Linked DNA regions of Lepisosteus oculatus. The protein of the gene in region 1 interacts with the protein of each later gene in a pairwise test. Links are inferred from orthologs where the notes say so. Each region holds a gene or a part of one and is shown in the gene's direction. Other genes may lie near its edges. The genes, in order: arhgef7b, sh2d1aa and git1.

Region 1 (7,666 bases):
GAAATTAAATCAAATATACTATTTTTAGAAACTAAATTTGGACATCCAGCTTGTCCACTGAGAAATTGTGGTATGAACGCATTACTTCCTGCAAGATTAACAGGACGGAAAAAATGCTAATGATCTTAATATCATTAAGCATTTTTAGAACAAACATAAATTTAGCAACTTAACTTTTCCTGTATAAAACAATTACCGACAGCAGTTCTTAGCTCATCACAAATGTACACATCCCCCCCCCAAATCCCACTCTTCTCTATAACAGAATTTATCTGTTAAAAATGAAAATATTCTAAAAAATAATATGAAAAATTTTGGTACTATCGCAAATATTTTAAGTATTAAACGTTTTCTTAGCTCATACCTTGACTGCTAGTTAAAGCAGCCAAATTATCTTGACGGGCCACGTTGCCTCCTTCAGTTTGTATGATTTCTAACGTTTTAACTATGCAAAAATGCAATTAATTAAACTGTTTTTCCATAGTGCATGGGTTATCCCAGGAAAAGCTAAGCCATTGCAAAGTATTTGTAGGACAGAAAGAATGATATAAGGGCTTATTTAAAATATGATTGAAAGAAGTCTCTCCAGAAAACGTGCTTTGTTTTGCTTCTCTCATTACCGGCAGTGTTGAAGATATATCCAGAAAGAATATATTCACAAACTTTGGTGTGTTTCTAAATTATGTCAGTCCCTCCTTTGTAACGTTAAAGCTTTGCTTAATGTTAAGGTAATCAATTCAGCTAATTGTGAATCATTACAAAACAAACACATTTTCAAAAATAGTGTTCAAGCTTATTTTTAGAGTACAGTAAAAAAAAAAGAAAATGAAAAGATTGCAGAAAACTGATTTTTTTATTTCAGTTTTAAAACTCCCAGTTTTAAATTTGACCGATGGACTCCACAGCTACCCCTGATGTTGACACGAAGAATTGTTTGGTCTTTGTGTTCAAAGTCGCCACCATCCAATTCTTCAGAAAGCAAACAAAAAAAGTTTCTTAATTTCTAATGTATACAGAATATAATAAAACACCAAGGCTGTACCCCATTACCTAGTGACACTCAGATGAAAATAGAGGAAAAACAGAAATTGTTTTAATAAACAGTGTTTAACACTACATAAATCAGTTTCACACATCCTGCATTGGACAGTAAATTACACACATTCCCAAACAATGCGATGTAAGAACACATTTGGAATAATCAAATTTATTTTGAAGTTTCACGTTCAAAACCAAAGTTACAGCTAACAATTTCAGAACCTTCTATGATTAAGTCTGGGATGCTGGTTTAGAAAAGCTGCTGATGTCTGATTGGCAGGCAGGAGAATGGTGAAAAACAACTTGTCTTCACATTTTTCCGATGGTAAAACACATTTTATCACATACAAAGTATGGCAAGTGTGAGTTTTTCCACACATATGTAATGCAGTACATTCAATTTTACTATGAAGCACCCTGGACTCAGCCCGCATGTATTTGAAACATGACTGTTGTTCCAGCACAATGAAACAGAACCCAGAGAGAAGATGTTTGTGTAAATTTGGCTTTAAAACAAAGCACTCATGCCAGGTTGCAGATGGGTGTTAGCATTGTGTTATCCATTTATCATCAACACATGTTTTTCCTTGACAAATTTCCCTTAAAGGAAATCAGGCAATGTTTTGTTCTTGCAGTGTATTGCTCAGTAATATTGCTGTGTTACTGTTTGTGTTAGCATATGTACAGTGAAGGGTTTAAGCATATAGTGCCGATAACTTCAAAACCACATAAATATTTCAGGTGTGCTGATTGCTGGAAGAGTTCCCCATGGGACGCAGAATAAAAATAATGAATCCACAATGAAAAATGACTGAAGTAAATAAGCACAGTTTAGAAAGAATTTCGGATGAAAGCTGAGAAAGAAAAACAAGCCAAATAAAAAAAAATACATCATTTTAAAAGCAGTACAAGAAGCTGATTACTGACTTATGGTTGTCACAAACATTTCTTCAATCATAGCCGACTGTGTTATGACTAATGATTTTAATTAAAAAAGTTTAGTTTGTGTATTTATTGCCAATAATATGATTATAACAATAAGACAAGGAAGGAGACAAAAACAAGTCTGAAATGGGAGGTAAGTGGTGGGAGAGATGAAAATCATATGAAACAAACTCAGGTGATTTTTGTTTTTTTAAATGTATGCTTTTAGAATTCATCATTTTAATGTTAAATTCATAGCCTTGTCAGTGTCACTGCAGGATGAAATGAGTTCCTTGCAACATGTAACATGCTTGGAGATCCTTTAGAATAAATGTGATTACTATTAAGTTGTTTTCTTAAATTGCCCTCCCGGGGATGAATAAAGTATTTTGAATTGAATTGAATTATCATCAGATAAGAAGGTGATACACAAGTATTTTCCTGATTGCCAGGAAGCTGGCAGCAGCTGTGCTAAAATGTCACAGACTTCATCATACAAGGTGCTGAAATGCAAATACACATAAAGTTTATACAGTTGAGGTAAATATTATTAAGTCACTGTAACCTTCCATTAATCTACTTCCTTCCAAGAATATCGTTTTAAATAAAGTTTTGGATTTGATCCATATTCTTCTCTTCATTTAATTCGGGTGTCAGAGCCTACCTTGGCAACCAACAGGTACAACACAGGATATGCCCTGGACAGGACACATATCCGTTACAGGGCACACAGTGACACAAACACGAAAAACCACACTAGGGCCTATTTACCCTATTTTATTGTAATGACAATAACTAGTCGTTTATGCCTGTAGGGTGGTGTGTGATAGAAGCACCAGATTTAATTGGCTGTGCTTTTATTTTAGATTAAAGAAAAGCTGAATTTCACTACCTTTCTTTAGGATGTAGTCTTATAGTCTCTACAGTTCTTAAACCTCTCAGCCTCTTTTCTAAAGCACAAGTGTCATGTCCTGACATGTAATTGTCTTCTGGGCTTCATGGTGATGTGTCTTTTTTCTGTCTTGTGATTATTTCACCAACAGATCGCATGTCTCTGTCCGTAAGGATAAGAAAAACTGCAAGGTGAACTAATCATTATGTTATGAAGAAAGGAATTTTGTTAGCGGTAGGCTTATCCAAAAAGACCCATTTGAAAATTACAAGTTTAACCCCGTTGTTCCATGTTTTTAATTTAAGATCCCAACATGAAATTTGTCATCATCACCAGAAACGTTGTTGTGTTTGTTATTCTCAGCGGTAGTAGTAATATTTGTAGTAGCAATAGGAAGGAATAGTAGATGTTAAAATATTTTAGAAAGACACAAATGATATTTTAATCATTCTTATATATAAAACAGATATGATACATGTTGTTACACAACACTATGAATTCCCAAATTAAAGCCAAATAGATCTAGAATAAAAAAACAATCCCTTAACGGAAAATAATTTTGTAAAACGATTTTCGCTGCAAGGTCTCCCTCGTGTGGAAACAGAAATAATTACACGGCGTATAGTTTTGTCGAAAACTCTAACATTTTATAGATTAAGAATATTAGTATAATATTAAATAATTCATATTTTCAAGTGTCTAATATCTTAAAGTATCCTTTGCTTATAGTTTGTGTTTGTCAATTTATTGATCGTAACAAATAAACGATGATTACCATTTGTTGTATAAGAGTTCTTTATCGCTTTGTAAGCATTGCTTTTGCAGTATAATTAAATCGAAATCAACGAATTTCGAAAAGAAAAATCACATCTAGCTAATAAGGTGCTGGTATGTTCCAGTGTTGGTCCTTACATAAATGTAACTGCATTTTCATTGTTACTTATTCAAACTTTTATTTAAAAAATATTATCTAGCATTCTGCAAAAGCGAAACAACAACATAGAATGCACAAAAATATTCACAATACATAAAACAGCTTAAACTGCCATTGTGTGAATAAAACATTTATTGACGATTCATTTGTACATACCCGCCTCCTGAGTGAGTATAGGAAAACATTTTCACATAAATCTCACTTTAATGTATTAAATCGATTATGAGAAATGTATGTATTTAACCGACAGTTTATAAAGCATGTAGTCTGGCTCATTCACAAGTTCTGTTAGGAAAGCATTGAAGTCAAACCGTGGAACAAAATAGGACAAAACAGGTCGTTTTAAGCGAAAAAGCATACTAGGAGTCTCCACAAGGCGGCGGACTTTCGTATCCAAAAGCATTAAGGTGCTATATCTGAAGCTTTTTTGGGAGATGCGTAAATAATTTGAATTACCCTTTAATTAGAAAAATATTTTGAACGCCCACTATCATTTTTTGTAAATATCAGTGATGTGTTTTTCGAGGTTCGAGATTGTCAAATTATAACACAAATACTAAATCAATAAAATACACTACAGGCAACACAGGGGTGAGAACTATTCCCAGTTCAGGTTTACCCCCACACAAAACAGTGCCTTTCCTTTCACAAAAGCAAAATGCTAGAGGTTTTGCATATCCAGATGCTGCCATCCTATTTCAAAGGCCACACATGTAAAACCATGCAAAAGTATTCCTGTGCCATGCAAATATACCTCTCTGATTACCATTGTAAGTGGCCATGTCGCTTTTCCGTGTCCATGATGTCATCTGCCGGAAGATCACTTGTGGGAGGCAATGCAGGTTGTGTGTATAATAGAGAAAGGCATTTGACAGCTGGCCAAAACAACCCCAGAGGAAAGCAAAAACCGACCTGCTGGATTTTCAAAAGCAAATCGTCATCATCTGCATCTACATGGAGAAGGAGGGATCAGCCGTAGTCTCTGCCCCGGACCTCACACCAATGTAGAGAGGAAATGTTTTAATTGGAATATATATTGATACATCTACCCACATAACTAATTTGCCCCCCGTCTCCCCCCCCCCCCCCCACCCCCACCTCCTCCCAATTGGATTTGCATCGTGAATGCTGCCATGAATTCAGCAGAGCAAACCGTTACATGGCTTATTACTCTGGGGGTCCTGGAATCGCCGAAAAAGACCATCTCGGATCCAGAAGGATTTTTGCAATCGTCTCTGAAAGATGGTGTGGTCCTGTGCAGACTGCTGGACCGATTGCGCCCTGGTTCTATCGATAAAGTAAGGACATTTACCATTCTTACCCGCTCCCAGCTACAGTGCGCTGTGTTTTTGTCGCGTAAACCCTATCGATGGCGTCCGGAGAATACAAAATATCCCCCTTTAATGCCCCGTCTCGGTCAATGTTTCTTTTTAGGTCATGTGTCTGGTAGTTATTGTGCTCCTACTGCAGGCTAACTGATATAGCACAGATGTCAATAACGCAACGCGAGAGGGATTACCGTATTAGACGCTAACAATAGGTGCTATTATATATCATAGGTACAAACTATATCTACAATATCCATAAATCATTGAATGTGAGGTAACCCTCTTAAGAACCGATGCTGGTTCTAACACTGGGAAATATACCCTTTCAACATTTTTTTTATTTATGAAATTGCACTAGACAAGAACATAGGGAATGTGTTTTAAACACGATTTTAAAAGAATGGAATCCCCTTTTTATGTTGCTTTATTTACTTGGAGGTGATGCGCTGACAGAGGACAGAATTGCGCCAAATCAAAATCGACTATTGATTTTTTTTTACGTGTGGAGGGGATACGATCCCACATGAGCAGGCCGCCATTGACTGGAAAAGCGCACACAGTATGTGACGACCCTCGGAAATGTTAAAGGAACAGTTCCATTTTTGAGGGTACGGCTGTCTACCAGAAGGTCAGACCGCATGTGTCAGACTTGTTTATAGTGCTGAACAATTGAGCTTACTGTTACGTTTTTACAGTAGCCTGTACTACAGTCTACAAACAAATTGCTTTGATGTAGGCTATCGTTTCCAACAGATTATTAGGTTCCTTCTTGGAGCTAAATGGAACTCCCGTCGTGTTCTTTCAGTATTGGTCTTTCTTTAATTTCCTCAATATCATGTACTGGGTCTTAACGAGAAATGTACCTGAATAATCTCTGGAATGCAGTTTGGTGATTTTATCTTCAATCACGACAGGTGAAATGACTAATTTTATTGCATGAACATTGCATTAAACAAACCTAATGAACAATGAAACAAAATTGTTTGAAAAAAAGGCTAAAGCCTACATCATGAAAAAAGGTGAGATTTAAATTTGCATTTGCTGCTAAAAACAAGAGGACGTAAGATCCTAGTGTACAGCACACAAATGCGGAATGAAAATTTACAATAATTAATGCCATTAGTACAGGCTTCTTGCTTTGGTCATTTTGAGGGCATACCTCAGGTTAAAACTAGCCTACGGTAAATAATGCCTGTCTTTTTTGAACAATTAAAATCCTTTAAACATATAAATCAAATCAATTTTAATATCACAAAAGTACATCATCATCCATGTATCCAGATATTAACTTTTATTATTGAAGAATCCTTGTGTATTAGAAGTAGGAGATCCACAAAGACGACAACAATATAAAGCAGAGAAACTCAATGCAGTCCAGCATCCATCTGTAACAGCAGATGCCCCCCAATTGTGACAGCAAGGTGATAACTATTATTTTTGGTTTAGAATCAGGCTATTTGTATTTGTGATTGTGGGATTGATGTGGCTTCACAGATGAGATGATGACTTCCGGAGCATCTGCAGTTTCTATTTTTTCGCCACACTTAAACTTAGGTGAAGTTTTGGTTCGGTCTGATTTTTTCTGGAAGTTATGTTCCCCAAATCTTCTGCCTGAGTTTTGTACTTCTGAGCAAATTTGGAAACATGGTGAAACATTCTGGCTTCACATCTGGCTCATTGGTCTTTGAAGGCACTGATGGCAGCGGCAGAATGAATTCTGAAATATTTCCGCTGAATATGTAGAGGAAGGTCATGCCCTGTGCCCACTGCTTGCTGGGATAGGCCCTGGCTCCTCCGCGATGGATGCAGAAGAGGATACTTACGTAGTTGTTGGGCAGCACTTTACCATGCAGCGTGACCACAACCTAAAACATACAGCCCATGCAACAACTTTTATCATTGGGAGAAAAAGAAAAGTCCTAGACTGACCAAACCAATATGGTCAAGCCATGTTTCCAGCTGACCAGCATTTTGCATGATGACGAAAAAGTTCAGAACAAAAAAAGTCCCAACACCTCAGGAAAAATCAAGAAACCTGAGTTACTGAAGCAAAGGCTTAATGAAGCCCCTCAGATGATCACGCAGATACCTGGGTGATCTCAGTGGGTTGCAGGCCTAATGTGGTCATTGCCTCAAGGGGAAATGGTGATAATATGTACTGACTTTTACACTCTGAAATGTACTTAAAGTGAAAGTGTCCCAATACCTTTGGTCCTTTGAAATCACCGGGTTCAACAAAAAGTATGTTTTTCGCACTAATATGACCACGTGTGCGTATGACATGATCTAAAAATAAAATGTATAGTGTATTACATTGTATGCATCTCTCATATTAATTTCCTGTTCTTAAATACAAATTGCTTGACTGTAAAGCAAAAGCAATAGCCTTGACTATGCTGTCCTTGTGTTTTGGGGGGACACTGCAAGTATTTTTTCCCCAAAACTCCGTTCATTTCTCACAATTCTATTACTTTTATATGTATAATGTTTCAGATTAAGGAAGCATTTAATGGAATTTAGAAAAACCAACAACAACAAAGTAGATGGATG
Region 2 (7,870 bases), on another chromosome or scaffold:
TTGAATGTAGAATATATTTAAAATGAGAGTGCCATATAATTTAAACTTGTAATTCTAAAATTGATATTTAATTCTTTGTAAAGTCTTCACATTTTCTGTACACCACGTTTTGACCACATGCATAAAATAATTTCCAAGTTAAACCAAGGCATATTTGTGGTAATTGTGTTTTAAGAAGGGAACAACAACAATAGCAAATTCCTCCCTGCAGTTGGTAAGTCTAAAATCCATATTTAAAAACATTTGCTTGCTTTCTTACTATTGGCCCCTTTTGACATTTGATTTTGCTTCAGACAAAATAACACCTTGACATGTTAATTGCTTTCTTGTCTGACTACATTGTCCATTTGAAGAGATAATTAGCTTTTACCTTTTTTTCTGTATTAATCCAAAAATAAAGCTTGCATCAGGTCTATTCAGTTCTGTGGGAGAGATTTTTTTTAACTATGAAGGGGGTGGAGTGGCAGAGGATTTATCGAACACTTAAATTTCCGTTTACGAAAATCATCAGTTTTAAATCATGAACATTTTAAGTTGCTTAGCACTCACTTTTGAATAAAGGTACAACAAGCCACTTTACATCATTGTTGCAAGTTAAAAGACCACTTTCATTGTCGAAAACTAAAATAAGGCTTGGAGTCGTAAAGCTGATGCAAAAGCTGAAACCTTGTTGCGTGAAGTTTTTATTGGAGTATTTGAACCATTTTAGGTGTCATTAGGTAGAATCATAACTTCTAACTTGCAAAGTAGTCCATTGGCTACAGTTCTGTTTGTTAAAACTGCTGTAAAGGTTTTTGAGTGATCAATTTCATAGCTGTTTTTTGTTAATTATTTTAAATTGGGATAGTTTTACATCTTTTAAGTTGCAAAATTCCTGTTGCTTTTCTGAATAGATTTCTTCTTGTGTACCTGTAGTACGATAGATTGTATGAACATTGCACAAGGTAATGTTCTAAGAATCTCCCGTGCTTTATAGAAGCTGCTATACATAAGGCAAGCAGTTTAATGAAAGATTGTTTTAAGCTATGAAGGGGGGTGGGGTGGGCGAGAATTTATCAAGCACTTTAATTTTCTGCTGTTTACACAAATCTTCATTTTGTTCGTTTCATATCTTTAATATTTTAATTTAGTGTGCACTCACTTTTGAACAAAGGTAACGATAAGTAACTGCGTATTGCAAATTGAAAGACCACTTTGCAGCTACTGTGAAAGTCAAAACATGAACAAGTCTAGTTGTTTAAGTCTGTTCTTCAAAATCGTTAACCGCTGTTGTCATGGTTAAATTGTTGAGGACTCCCTCTTTTCTTTTAGAAGTGGGTTACAGTTGAGTTTTTTTTCTCAGTTTCAGTAAAGACGGCAAGTGGGGCATTCCTGTTATTGGGGTTTCTTTCTAATGCATGGCATTCTCGATCGAAAAATGTACTAAATACAATTAGAATGACTGGAATATTGAGAAGTCATCTTTAAGAGTTTTGCGTACACATTTTAAAATGTAGCATGAAAGTGAACCAGTTTGATAAATGGAAGGCCCATACTCACTATATTTAAACTTGTTTCTCTCTAATCTTTTATACATTGAAGTGAGAAAGGATTTCACTTTCTGATTTATATTAACGATGGTCTTGGCGTGTTCCAGGATAGATTTTTTTCTTCCTGTACTTCGCCATTCTATAGTACTTGCCCAATAGACAAAGTTACATTTACAAGCAGTGCATAATCTCTTCAACGTTGAGGGAACACAGAAAAGGATGGACAGTTATGTCTTTTTATCACAGGCTTCATCTAAATCTTCAGCAGTGATTACTTCTTGGAATAAAGAATCGAATGTCACCAAAGAGGCCATTTCTTAGGACAATAGTTGGGATATTGCAAATTTATCTTGCATCCTACCTAGAGATGCGAGTTGGGCTGAATGGCCGCTGCTTATGTTGTTTCAAGTGTCAAGATCATTTGTAGATGGTGTCATTGAAACTAGTTCCTAGTTCCCTGTATTCCTCTGTAATGTGTTCCTGTAGTTCCTTCTACACACTGGTCGGTTCTTTAACCACTTCTTTACATGCTTTTGGTGTGCCCAGGGGTAAAATTCTAGAACCCTACTTCATGTTTTTTCTACTCTTCTAAATCGAGAGATTCTCACTTTGCACTTGGTACTCTTGCTAGATAACTAATTTGGATCTCTCACAGCGGCAGAAACAGATATGGCTGTTTGGCATGACTGTGCTGTTGCTGCCAATGCTTTTGGGAGTCTCTTCATTCCTTCTACTGGCATCGCTGGATTCTATCCCATTGTGATGTTGTTTATATAGACCTTTCAATTGCTAAGTCTACGAATACGTTAAGGCTTAGATTCGTAAAGCTGAAAGCCTTGTTGCATGAAGGTTTTATTGTAGCTGTTTTAGGTGCTTTTAGACGGAGACCTGGAGGGAACTACTACTGAAGGGGGGTTGAGGAGGGTGTTGATATCTTCAAGATTCTGAAGTAGTCTGTGTTGGCTATAGTTCCACTTGTTCAATGTAAAGGTTTTGCCAATGGATACATTTCATGTCTGTTTTTTTAATTGTTTTAAATTTTGATAGTTTTACATCACAGTTGCAAAATTCTTATCTGTTGCTTTTCTCAGTATATTGTCGACGTGTCTGTATTATGACATATTGTATGATCGTCATACAAGGTTCTGAGAATCCCTCCTGCTACATAGGCCAGGCAGTGTAATGGAAGGATGCACACTGCTACCTCACGTTGCAGTTACCTTAAAGATGTTATCTTTGATTTAAGGTTGATTTTGCACTTATGGGAGAGACTGTATTAAAAGAACGTGCAACCACATTCAGTTAAGCTGCGTCATGATTGACAAAGCTTCTATTGTTTCAAAAGAGGCATAAATTGGAAAAGTACAGATACTATCTGCTCACCTGTTTCATAACAAAAGTAGAATTAACGAAAACCAGGTGGTTTGCCGGAATATTCTCAGGAAATTAAAATCCTTGCACATAACATGAAAGAACTGAAACATTTGTGGTAACTGATAGTTATCAGTTTTACATTAGATGGTCTGATTTGCAGAAAAATGCTTTCAAGCGGAACATTTAATGCAAACCTGGTGAAAATGCAGTTAATGTGATAACTGTAAAAAATTGTTTTTAATTTGACTCATGTGACCTTAACTTAGTCAGCTACACATTTAAGTGTATAGTGGTGGAAGTAGCTCTTTTTTTTTACTACTTGAACATTAAGTATTTTAAAGAGGTTATAAATATTTAATATTAAGTATAGGTGTACATTAAAAAAACAATGTCCCTCTGATGCTTTAAACATTTTAGACATTGGATTTGAAAATGTGCTGTCTGATTAGCAATAATGAAAGAGGTGCTGCTTCTTCAGGATCAAGACCGTTTATCACTTAACCCACATACAAGATACAAAGCGTGAAAAATGAAGGCTTTGAAAATGGGTTCAAGTTGTTTTCAGCCATTGAAGTGTTAGACACTTAAACCATGTGTACAGATCTTTCCAAAAGTTTACGTAAGTCCATTTACATTGATATTACATCTTTGGGAGTGTACACCATTCTCTACAGCAACTCTAAATTAGCACGTCTTTATCCTAAGAAAGTTGTATCCTCACCCGAAAAGTTTCAGGTTTTCTAGACATGTTCTGACATGTTTATCTATACAGCATTAGGGTGTTGCTGTCTGAAGCATTGTACTGAGAATAAACAGACATTTTGTTAATAAAATACTATTTTTTCTTGTGTGGTATGGTTTAATGCTGTTTAATTCCTTTATTTTTATTAGGATGAAATTCCCTGTGAATATTACATCCAGGCTTTTCATGTTTGAAGTTCAGAATTCACAAGTAGGTTGTGAAATTGCAACTTTAGCAACAAATGTAAGTGATGAAATTAGATTGGTGTATAGTTACTCACCTACCATGTTATACGGGATATTAATAGGCAAAGTATTAAGTGATTCAGGCTAAGAGAAGTTTGGCAGCTGTGGTCAGAAATGAGATTCGATCCGCTTCTTCAGTGCTTCTCTGACCTCGGTGCCTTACAAGTGTCAGATCTGTTCAGCCAAAAGACCAGTGATGTGACCCAGTGGGTTTGGAATGCTTTTAAAGTTCCAGTGAGGTTACATTACTTTAACAGTTTCATATACCACATTATCCCAGTTAGACTTTCCCCTTCTAAATTCTATGCATCTTCCCATGACTGACAGGCAGCAGTCTCAGTGATTTAGACTAGTTTGTAACTTGCTCATAGCTGGTATTGGATTGCTCTCTCTCGGCCGTCTTCCAGCCCTGAGCTTTCTTACAGGGCTTCAGTGTTTGAAGTTCATATCAGTTTCATTTATGAATACAGTAAATGAAAAGATTTGTATCTGTAGATTTTCTGCTACCTCAGGTCACGTAAAAAACAGCTAAAAGATCCAAGGATCTTGCCCAGCTTTTTTCTTGAAAGAACCCTGGATATTAACTATAACATCGTAGCTGGCAGCTCATTCAATACACCCACAAGCCAACATGTAAGGGAGACCCACATTTTCTTGGTTTAAAATGTACTTCCGCACAAAACCATAATATGGAAACCCACATTTTATCTGGTGCTCATGTAATATGTACCTACAGAATGAGGAGCTTATGGGCCACAACACAACAATTCAAGCTGTCCCTTGTGTGCTAGCAACAAGTTTTATGAGTATAGTTTCTTGACTCTGGAAGAGGAACCTTTTTTATTATAAATAATTTAACAGAAGCTGAATAAACCTGCTGACTGGCCAATTTACAACAAGAAACAGAACCAACTAATTTCATTTTGATGTTGGAGATGGAGAGACTGAACCACTTGTGATGTTATTTCCTGTGTTTCTTTCTTTCTATTCGTTATTATCTCATTTCCTGCACACCCCAGTTATTTGAACACTTCTCTGACAATACTTGCAACTTGCATCACCTTGGTTTTAGCAGCATGATGGATTCTTTGTCTGTTTATCATGGAGGCATCAGCCGGGAAACAGGTGAAAAACTTCTGAGTGCTGCTGGGAAAGATGGCAGTTATTTAATACGAGACAGCGAGAGCGTGCCTGGTGTATATTGCCTCTGTGTGCTGTAAGTATTGAGACAGATGCATTGGAAAATACATTTTCAATTTCAGTGCAAATTACAGTATCAGTGCCAGACTTCAGTCATCACAAATTCAGCAGTGATGGAGAAAAATGGTTCTCTAAAAAAAACTTTCTCAGAACATGATTGAAACTTTGTTGATTTGATGTACAAATTATATTTTTGGCAACAGCAGCACTGCTTATTGATGTTCACTTATGTTCAAAACAGTTACTGTAAAAAGCTAATTAGTGCATGTATTTTTATTGTATGTATACATTTTAGCTAGAGACGTATGTCTTCTGTACAGTTATTATTCACTTTAAAAACTAGGATTTGGCTCATTTAAGGTAATGTATGTCTTCACTAATTTAAAGAAATTAAAGAGATTAATTTATTGTTACATACTAATAAGACTGCCTCTTATTAACGTTTTTTTTCATGTTGAGCACAATGTCTTCATTCAATGGGCTTGGATCTTCACTAGTGAAACTACATTATAAAGTTAAAGTGTAGTCCAAATTGAATGCAATACAACTGACACCTAATCTGATCATGTTGTGCTGGAAAGAGTTTGAGTTTCAATAATGGTTGTGAATTTTTCAAATATTTGATTTATTAAATAATTACAAATATATTCACCATCTAGTGTTATTGGAATATGTCTTTGCTCTCTTCGTTTGCTTCGTTTGCTATTTAATGCCTGTGTTACCACAATTACAGAATTAAGATAATTGTAAATGTTAACCTGATGTTAATAAGTATCTCAGCATATAATTGCACATTATCGAATGTACTCTTCACTACATCATTATAAACACACTTTTACACATTTCGCAAGTCCATGCTGGCAAGTCAAGGTCTATAAATCCACTTTATAATCTAGGACATTTTCTTTACTTTAATATATTGGTATTGTTGTAGAGCAGCAACTACAGTCTAACTCTAAATGCTAAAAAAGTAGAAAGCAAAAAAAAAAGTTTGGCTGTGAAGCTTTATTTGGGTATTTGAGAGAGAAAGATTGCAGGATAATGAAACAGAGCTGATTGATAACCCCATCACTCTCAAGTAAAAACTGATTACTGATTGTAATCTTGACAAAAATTGTATGATTTGGTATTATTGTGCAATATAGTACATTAATTATTATGACCCCAAAAATGTAAACGTACAAGTTAAGGATAAAAGTGAATATTCCTGATCTTACAGTACATTGTTCACCTCATGCATTCCGGCCAACAGGATTAGCAGTTTTGTTAGCCGGAAAACCAAAAGTAGCCAAAAGATTTTCTGTCTGCCGTATTTGAAGCCCTCAGCATGTTTTAGATACTGCGTAATGAAAATGCACAGTACAAATGGCACACAGAAGAGTAGTTATTTGTATATTTACAAACATTTGGAAGCGAAAATGTATCCTGGACTATTACTAGTTCAAACCAAGTGGGAGCCGCCATTCGGTCTCTGGGCTTGTCACTGGATAAGTATTGTAATGTTTAGTAAATGAATAGCTCTTAAAAGAGCCATTGAAAAGGAGAGTTTAGTTGTCATTGACATCATTTCTTAAATTTAACCCACTGTTTGCTGCTTTTCTTTATGTAGGACACTAAGCTTTTAGTTTCTGTAGGCCCACCTCATTGCTGCAAAACTTAAATCTGGAGTCTCGCTTTATTTCAGTTAATTTTATAGTATTCCCATTGTTGTGTGCATTACATCATTTTTGCAGAACCCACATTAAAAAAACAAATTAGTGGGTTGCTGATATATTGCGTTTACACAGAAACAATGAAGCTTGAGAACAGAAGGTGCTGTGTGATGGGCAATCAACATAAAAAGTAATGTTGGATCGAAATGTGTCTTGCTAAATTGAGTTCACTGTTGAGTTCAGTGAATATATGGAGTATCAGGCTTTTTCTCAGGTCGTTGGTCATACCAAAGATTTGTGCATTGCATAAATTAAATTGTTAATAAAAAGATCTATAAGTAATGTGATGACGGTATGTTGCATTATGTGAAATTGTGTAAGCAGTACTATATGGATTTTAGTACTGCTAAATAATGGTTGTAGATGTTTCTGCTTCAACCTCAGACATCTATAGGAAGAGTCTTTATGACAGGTTACATTTTTTTTCCGTGGGATAAAACGAGTTCAGGATGTTTTTGTAAACAGTTGAATGAAAACAAATAGAAGTACTAATGTGTGACATAAAACTAGTTTTTGCAGTTAATATACAATGTAGGTAGCTGCAAATTGAAGTATTATACCCATGTCAGAAATAAGATTATTCAGTGACTCATTAATTATACTGTATATAGGAAATATTCCTTGTTAAACTAGTTTTGAACGACTTATTTATGGTATCAAGTAGAGGTTGAGGTGCTATAGTAAACTAATTTAAAACAGAGTACCAATAATTTAATCTAAAAATCTTTGTGCGTTTATGTGGAGAAAAAATAAATAATGTACAGACATTCCTTGTACAGACAGGAATTGTGTCTGTTACTAGTAAACTCACATATTTTAAGTAGGTATTTTAATCAAGAAGCTCAAAAACATGTTAGAAAAATACTCCCACTCATAAGAAATTATAGCACCAGAAAGTGAGAGACATGAATGCCAGAATAGAATACAAAGGAGAAGGTAGCAGGACAAGGCGATGAGATAAAATGTTCCACTTTGGGCAGCCAAACCATATGACATTTTCTCATAGAACAGTCTTGTAATTGAATTTGCTGCATGCTGAGGAAATCATAATCTAATGGTTTGGACATT
Region 3 (7,049 bases), on another chromosome or scaffold:
AGGTCTCCCCCTCCCCTCCTCCCTGCCCACAGCCCTGCTCTCTGACTGCACCACCACTGCCCCCGGCCTGCTGTCCAGTCCGGCAAAGAAGAAGATCCAGAGGAAGACAGGAAAGTCAGGAAGTCAAGGATAATAATAATAATAATAATAATAATAATAATAATAATAATAATTGCTTACACTTATATAGCGCTTTTCTGGACACTCCACTCAAAGCGCTTTACAGGTAATGGGGATCCCCTCCACCACTAATGTGCAGCATCCACCTGGATGATGCCGACAAGGGGTACCTACAGGACGTGATCTGTGATGTTCCCACTGGGAAACACAATCATCTTCCCCTGCGCCATCACCCTGCGAGCGATCGTGACGAGGAGATACAGCTCGGACCCCAGGACCAGGAGCGGGTCTTCGGCTCTCCCCCACAATCGTCACCCCGACCCCAGGCCACGCGTCAGAAAATACACACACCCCTACCCCCTACCATGCCATCGCCTCGACTTAGCTCATCCGTCTGTGTCTGGCAAAAAGGCTGGGCGACTTCCTGCATCTAAAAACGCTGTCGGCGCTGATCAGGCGCTGAAACTGCTCTATCGCTCCTCTCGCGCATTTGGAAAGCGCTGTGTGTAGTCATCCGTCCTGCGCCCAGTCTATAGCCTGCACCATGCAGAGAATCTCTTATGTAAGTCGTTTCAGAACCAGAGACGAGGGAAGATTCTCAGTGCCTTTCCTGGTCGCGTTACAAAGCCTGTCTGTCATTCCAGCCCGGTGTCTTATCCATTAGGCCCGCAGTCTGTGCATTATCCCCAACGCCGAGATGTCAGGCTTCGGTTGTGTTTTTTGGTGTTATGCTAAGTACTACATTACATTTAGTTAAATAAATGAGGCGCACGTTTCTTCCAGTGAGCTGTACTGCAATATATATAATGAGACTTCACTCCGTGCACAGAAGCAGGCACACTCTCACTACCCAGATGAAATGACTAAATCCACCTGCCACAGCCCCAGCCTGCCACACGGCTCGTGCCGCGAGGTGCCGGCTCGCCCGTCCACGCGCTGCCCCTCGCCCACCTGCCGGGCTGCACCGCACTGCCTCGCGCGGCTCGCGAGCTGCCGCGGCCCCCGCTTCACCACGCGCGCTCAACCCGCTGAAACCCGCAGGACCGTCGCCAACTTCTCTCGGACCCGCGCCGCGGAGAAGGCAGGCAGCGGACGGGCGATGGCAGCCCGTTGTGTTTTTCGGGGTTGCGAGCGCGGAGGCTCCCGATGCAATTCGAAGCCGTTACCGGTCTGCCGGTCCCCCGCCTCCGAGCCCCGAGCCCCGCTCGGACAGCCTTGGCGACGCTCAGTTGCATTTCTGCACCGGCGGCATCGCGGCTGCGTGCGGCGATAGTGACAGGAGACCCCAGCCGGCAAGCGACATCGTGTCTGCTGCCGTGCCGCCCCTCTCGACGAAACGCCAGACGATGCCGCTCTATCAGACCAGACTCCCTCGATCCCGAAATCGTTCGCCACCGCTTTTCGCGCTGTCTTCCCCACAGCCTGGGCGGCCCCCCGGCTACACCGCCCCAGCCCCGCGGACTGGGGCGCCGAGCTGCGCCTTACCTGCTCCTCCGCGGTCAGCTCCTTCTCCAGCTGGCGATGCCTGTTGTACCACACCAAGGTGTGCAGGGGGTATTTACTTTTCTCCGGAGTTCTCCTTGTGGAAATCATCCTCTGTGCATAGTTCGCTATTCTCTCTCCTCTCTTTTTTCCCCGGTTATTATATTCTCAGGATCGCCGGAGCCGGAATAGCGGCTGGTTACAGGAGCATGATACAGATATAGCGGAATAGATAGAGGGAGCAATTAACGGCCGGGAAATACAAGGCTTTCGAATAGAGATTACAAATAAAAAATAAATACATTCATATGTGACCGACTCGCCTTTCTTGGATTTTCCGATGATTCCACCTTCCTCGCCCCCTCCCTGTCTGTACCCTCTCTCTCTCCCTCCCTCCCTCTCTCTCTCCGTCTCTCGCTCGCTCTGCGAGGATGAGCGGGCGAGGGGAGGATTTTCCGCGTATTGACTCGAGCTGTAAGCAGCTCATCCGGTCTGGCTGGCCGCTGGAGTGACAGGCTGGAGCTGAACATGTTACCCGGCGAAGCACTGCTGCCCCCCGGCTCACAGACACGCGCGGCTGTGGCGGCGTCGTGCGTGTGAATGTGTGAGAGTGAGAGTGTGTGAGTGTGAGTGAGTGTGCAGGGCTCGCCGCCCGCCAGCCCGTGTGTGTGTGAGTGTGAGTGAGTGTGCAGGGCTCACCGCCCGCAGGCTCGCGTGTGTGTGTGAGTGTGTGAGTGTGAGTGAGTGTGCAGGGCTCACCGCCCGCCAGCCCGTGTGTGTGTGTGTGTGAATGAGTGTGAGTGCGTGTGAGTGTGAGTGAGTGTGCAGGGCTCACCGCCCGCCAGCCCGTGTGTGTGTGTGAGTGAGTGAGTGTGTGTGTGTGTGTTTTGTTTCGGGCTGACCGAGCAGACCTGGGCGAGTCGGTCGTGAGGACCGTGTCCAAATGTTGACGCGTCAAATTGAACACGCGGCTCGAGACGCCGGGCTTGCAACATGGTGTGGACGTGGACTCCGCCGTCGCAGCAGCCTGCGTGTATATAGCGCCTTTCTGGGCTGAGGACGCTAGGGCGGTGCCGCCAGTCACAATCACACGCGCGGATCCGATCAGAAGGACATTCCGTTTCCATTCTTCGCTTTCTAGAACAAAACGACGCAGGTGAGACTAGTCAAGGGAGCATAGTTATAAACACAAGAATCAGTTGTCTCTGCAGTTTAATTTCTCTTTTCATAAGTAGCTGCTTTGTTAATGTGGTCGCCGGTGGGGCAGGACGACCCCCCGGGTACCCCCATGAGGGGCTCTAGGCCAGAGGGGCCAGAGGGGGCGCTGTCTCTCCACGCCGCTCCTGGGGGATCTAATCCGTCTGGCGGCCAGTCTGCTTGAAGGACAGGCCAGGGCCAGGCCAGGACACTCAGTAATTCCTCATGGATCGACTTCAAAGCCCCTCGAGACGAGCTCACAGGCGAAATCTTTGTTCCAGCGCGCTGTTTACGCTTTTGCCCGGTCCAAATGTCTGGTCTCCCCGGACCAAAGTAAAATGCTAACCAAGCTTGTGGTTTATCACAGTGCTATGGGATATCTAACGTCTTAAAGACGTCCTTTTAAGTGTTTGAAAAACCGCTTTCCGGCCCAGAGGGTAATATCTTTGATCTTCTACTGCAACATTAAGTGCATGTTACCGCACTTATTTTGAGTGTCTCGGAATCTAAGGGCTTCTGAGTCTCACTTGAGGTCCAATGTCGTGGATCATCTGGACAAAACCCGTGAAGAAAACAGAAAACACTTGAGGACAAACCAGCTTTCAGGGGTATTCCTGACAAACCTCGGAGAAGCCTTTTCGACCGAGGGAAAGTGCGCACGACTTTGAAGGAATTCTTCGATATCATCTCTTTAACACCGGAGCACACAAGTCCAAATTAAGTGGAAGCGCGTTTGAAACTGAAAAGAGGAGACATTTTTATAGGCTTGGGGGATTCTGATGGAAGCTATATGCTGCTGATATCCAGGCTTTTTCCAAGAAGTAGCTGGATGAGACCTTTGGATCAATTAGCTACTGAAAACCAATTATCTAGATGGTCTTCTCGTTTGTAACCGTTCTTAATGTATTTGGTGTTTATAAACGGCTGAATTACCACCGCCTCTTGATACTCCCGAAGGTCTTGGACACCGCTGTGTTTCCAGCGCTTCACGATTAAATACAGCGACTTTTTCGACTCTACGTCAAGACGCAGGGAAACATGCAGGTTCCTCCCAGACGGGGCTACATTTGAAACTACAGTAGCTGCCTACGTAGTTAATCGCAGGTGTCTGTTTTTAATGGGAGTTGCTTGACGGTTTATTGGTGACTCGGCGGTTAGCGCTAGTGCCTCGCAGCTCTTGATCCTGGGTTCAACTCCGCATGTTCACGCACATTGCGGTGGGTTTCCTCCCACCGTCCAAAGGCGAGCTCCTGGGCTGTTAGGTGGGACTGGTCAGGCGTGCTGTAATACGACCTCAACGCCGGCAGTACCGCAAAGAGCAACAGGTGCAAGAAAATATCATTGGATTGTCGTTGATTCTTATGGTGAAAGCAAAACTGAAAGCACGGGTCTATTTTTTTAATTTCTTAAAGTCGAATTATTCATGCATAGGTGAGGGGAGAGAGGGGTGTTCGGAATAAGACAAAGCCGTGTCCGCAATGCTAGCGAGGGAAAACGATCATTGACGCGCTAAATTCGGCTCAGACTGACTGACGGACGGACGGACAGGCAGGCGAAGGCGCAGACAGAGGGACAGGGGCTGCCGTGTGCGGACCCCACCGTGCAGTTAGGAGCCCCCGGGGAGCGGGGAGGCTGTGGACGATATTTGCAGTGATCTCATTGTACTTTGTGGTCTGATGAGCAGCCCCTGGCTGCGATAACGAGCGAACTGAGAGCGACGGTGCCGGAGGAGGAGGGGAGAGCGGCAAGCAGGGGGAAGCCAGGAAAACCGGGGAAAGTGCTGCGCTTTTTCCACGCACGAACACTGCCCTCGCCTCCCTTTCAATGAAATCAATCATCCCAGTTTCCCCTGTAACCCACTTGCTCAGTACGCCGACGCCATATAGGAAAACCGGGGATATTTCTGTGCACTGGGGAGCGAGAAACGCACACACGCAGGCAGAGGCCGGGGAACCTGTTCCGTGCTGTGAGGCTTCCGGGCGATTCGGGAGCAGGGAAGCGGCAGTCCAGCCTTTTTCAGCCCGGGGAACGGAAAGGCGACTAAAATAACAACATTTCAACACCATTGGACACAATGTCCAGGAAAGTGCAAAGAAGCGAGGTCTGCGCCGACTGCAGCGCGCCGGGTAAGATTTTGTTTTTTAAAAGGCGTTGTTAGCAGCTGGTGTTTGGCAACTCGGGGAGGGAAGAGGCACTGGGATGGGAGAGGGTGACCGGAGATGGCGGTCGCATCCCGGGATCGGGGAAATAGGAAAGCGGCCCGGCGCGCTCTGTGGCCTAGATGCCCTTCCACTTGCAGTGACCATTTCTCCCAGTAAAGATTCTGCTGTGGTCGAAAATATACCTATTAACACGAAATCATACGCCACTCGTAGTGTTTAATTGTAGTATTATGTTTATTTTTTTCCAACTGACAAGGCGTTATCCCATTACATTGCGTGTGGTATCTACTGGTATATTTTTAATATTGTACACGTTTATACGAAGCGAGCTGTTCAGGGGAAAGTACGTTAAAAATCTGGGTTTTCAAATAAAACGTCTCCTTTTGTTTTGGGTAACTAGCTAGATTCTCCAGTCTAGCTGGGTAGTTGTTACCTCAATGGGTGTGCGTTACTGGGACATTAAATACCGTGATTACTGAAAGGCGAAATTGTATTATTTCTCATTAACTGCAGTTTTTTTTATTCAATCAGAAGAATAAATGGCAGTTTTAATTGGAATCCGATGTGAAAACAGTTTTGTCGATAAAGACAATTTCCACTGTGTATACCCTAGAGGCCATTACATTATTCCGAAGTCGACTGGTTTTGTAGTAGTAAGCCAGCCGCCTCCGAACATGTCGTTGCCTGCAACGCAATTTACCAGTTTTTGTTGTTTTTAAACCCTCGGAGTTTGAGTGAACCGAGTTCGGCGGATGCCTTTGCAGGCTCCAGAGCCCGGCGACGCCAGACCAGGCGCTGCTGCGCTCGGTAGGTTTTGGGGTCACAGTGTGGGCAGGTTCTTGCCGAGCCCCAGCGCCATACGTGCCGTCACCCTGAGTGACTAAGCAGTTTGTTCTTGTTTTTCGGGGGTCACACCTAGCGCAGGAGTTTGAATCTTTGAAGTGCAGCCATACATTATAAAGTAGTCGAGAAGCTGAGATTTGACAAGACACGGCTGGACGTCTGCCGCCTCCGGTTTCCGGTTTGCACAAGACGGGAGTCTAAATCCTGATTCCTGGAAAGGAAGAGGTTGCGGAGATGTGTTCGTTCTCTGTAAACGCTGTGCAAGGCCCTTCCAGGTTTTGCAGTACGAGCTGTACACGAGTATCAGGTGCAGCAACACTTCACACTTTGAGCCATATTTGGAGTAAATGCTAAAGAAAGAACTGCTGAATCTAAATACTGGGGCACAGTATGCACATTGTTTGCCTGGAGCTGGTCACTCTTGGCACTGGGACCCCAATACACACAAGCACCCCCCAGCCTGGAGCTGGTCACTCTCTGTACTGGGACCCCAATATACACAAGCACCCCCCAGCCTGGGGCTGGTCACTCTTGGCACTGGGACCCCAATACACACAAGCACCCCCCAGCCTGGAGCTGGTCACTCTCTGTACTGGGACCCCAATACACACAAGCACCCCCCATCCTGGAGCTGGTCACTCTTGGCCCTGGGACCCCAATACACACAAGCACCCCCCTGGCCTGGAGCTGGTCACTCTTGGCTCTGGGACCACAGTAGCAGCTGGCTGCGCAGCCCGGTCTGTCTCCCGGCAGCCGACTAGTCTGTCAGAGGGTCTGGAAAGTCGATTTGTTTTTGCGACGACCAGACAAATGTTGAGCTTTTTGAGAGGTGACAGGTTTTCCGGAGAGCATGAACACTCGCACATGCTGTATTCTGTAAGGGTTGGGGGGGGCTTTCAAAGCGCTTTGTTCCACAGTAGATTTTGTTCGGCTTTTTCAAACTCGACTTCCAGATAAAAGAGGCAGAGAGGGAGACAGAGATCCAGTGATATGTGATGGAAAATTGTGATATTCTGCGTAGCAGCTCATCTCCCCTAAGAACTGAGTGAACGCGAGGGGGAATTAAATTAGGATAGATGTGCTGAATTGGGCTAGAGTCGGCAGAGCTGCAGGTGGGGCTGGTCATTGTGTCCTGGCACTGGAGGTCGTGGTGCACGCAGGTGAGAGTGTGGCAAAGTGCACAAGAACATACTTTTGTGCACTTGTGTGCACGTTGCTCACCAGCGGACCTGTGAGAGGGCTCCT

The links.
Region 2: the proteins of arhgef7b (region 1) and sh2d1aa interact in binary tests that used the Homo sapiens proteins (3 or more experiments, as listed by UniProt). The link is inferred for Lepisosteus oculatus from reciprocal best matches to the Homo sapiens genes ARHGEF7 and SH2D1A.
Region 3: the proteins of arhgef7b (region 1) and git1 interact in binary tests that used the Homo sapiens proteins (3 or more experiments, as listed by UniProt). The link is inferred for Lepisosteus oculatus from reciprocal best matches to the Homo sapiens genes ARHGEF7 and GIT1.

The regions. Positions count from the first base shown.
Region 1 is NC_090710.1:25,691,380-25,699,045, forward strand, and holds the start of arhgef7b (rho guanine nucleotide exchange factor 7b), read left to right. Parts: upstream 1-4,651; 5' UTR 4,652-4,921; coding exon 4,922-5,086; intron 5,087-7,666. UniProt on the Homo sapiens protein: Acts as a RAC1 guanine nucleotide exchange factor (GEF) and can induce membrane ruffling. Functions in cell migration, attachment and cell spreading. Promotes targeting of RAC1 to focal adhesions. May function as a positive regulator of apoptosis.
Region 2 is NC_090703.1:41,769,003-41,776,872, forward strand, and holds the start of sh2d1aa (SH2 domain containing 1A duplicate a), read left to right. Parts: upstream 1-4,800; 5' UTR 4,801-4,966; coding exon 4,967-5,106; intron 5,107-7,870.
Region 3 is NC_090721.1:10,575,634-10,582,682, reverse strand, and holds the start of git1 (ARF GTPase-activating protein GIT1), read left to right. Parts: upstream 1-4,011; 5' UTR 4,012-4,873; coding exon 4,874-4,925; intron 4,926-7,049. Other genes in the region: ankrd13b (ankyrin repeat domain-containing protein 13B), read right to left, coding at 1,606-1,713. UniProt on the Homo sapiens protein: GTPase-activating protein for ADP ribosylation factor family members, including ARF1.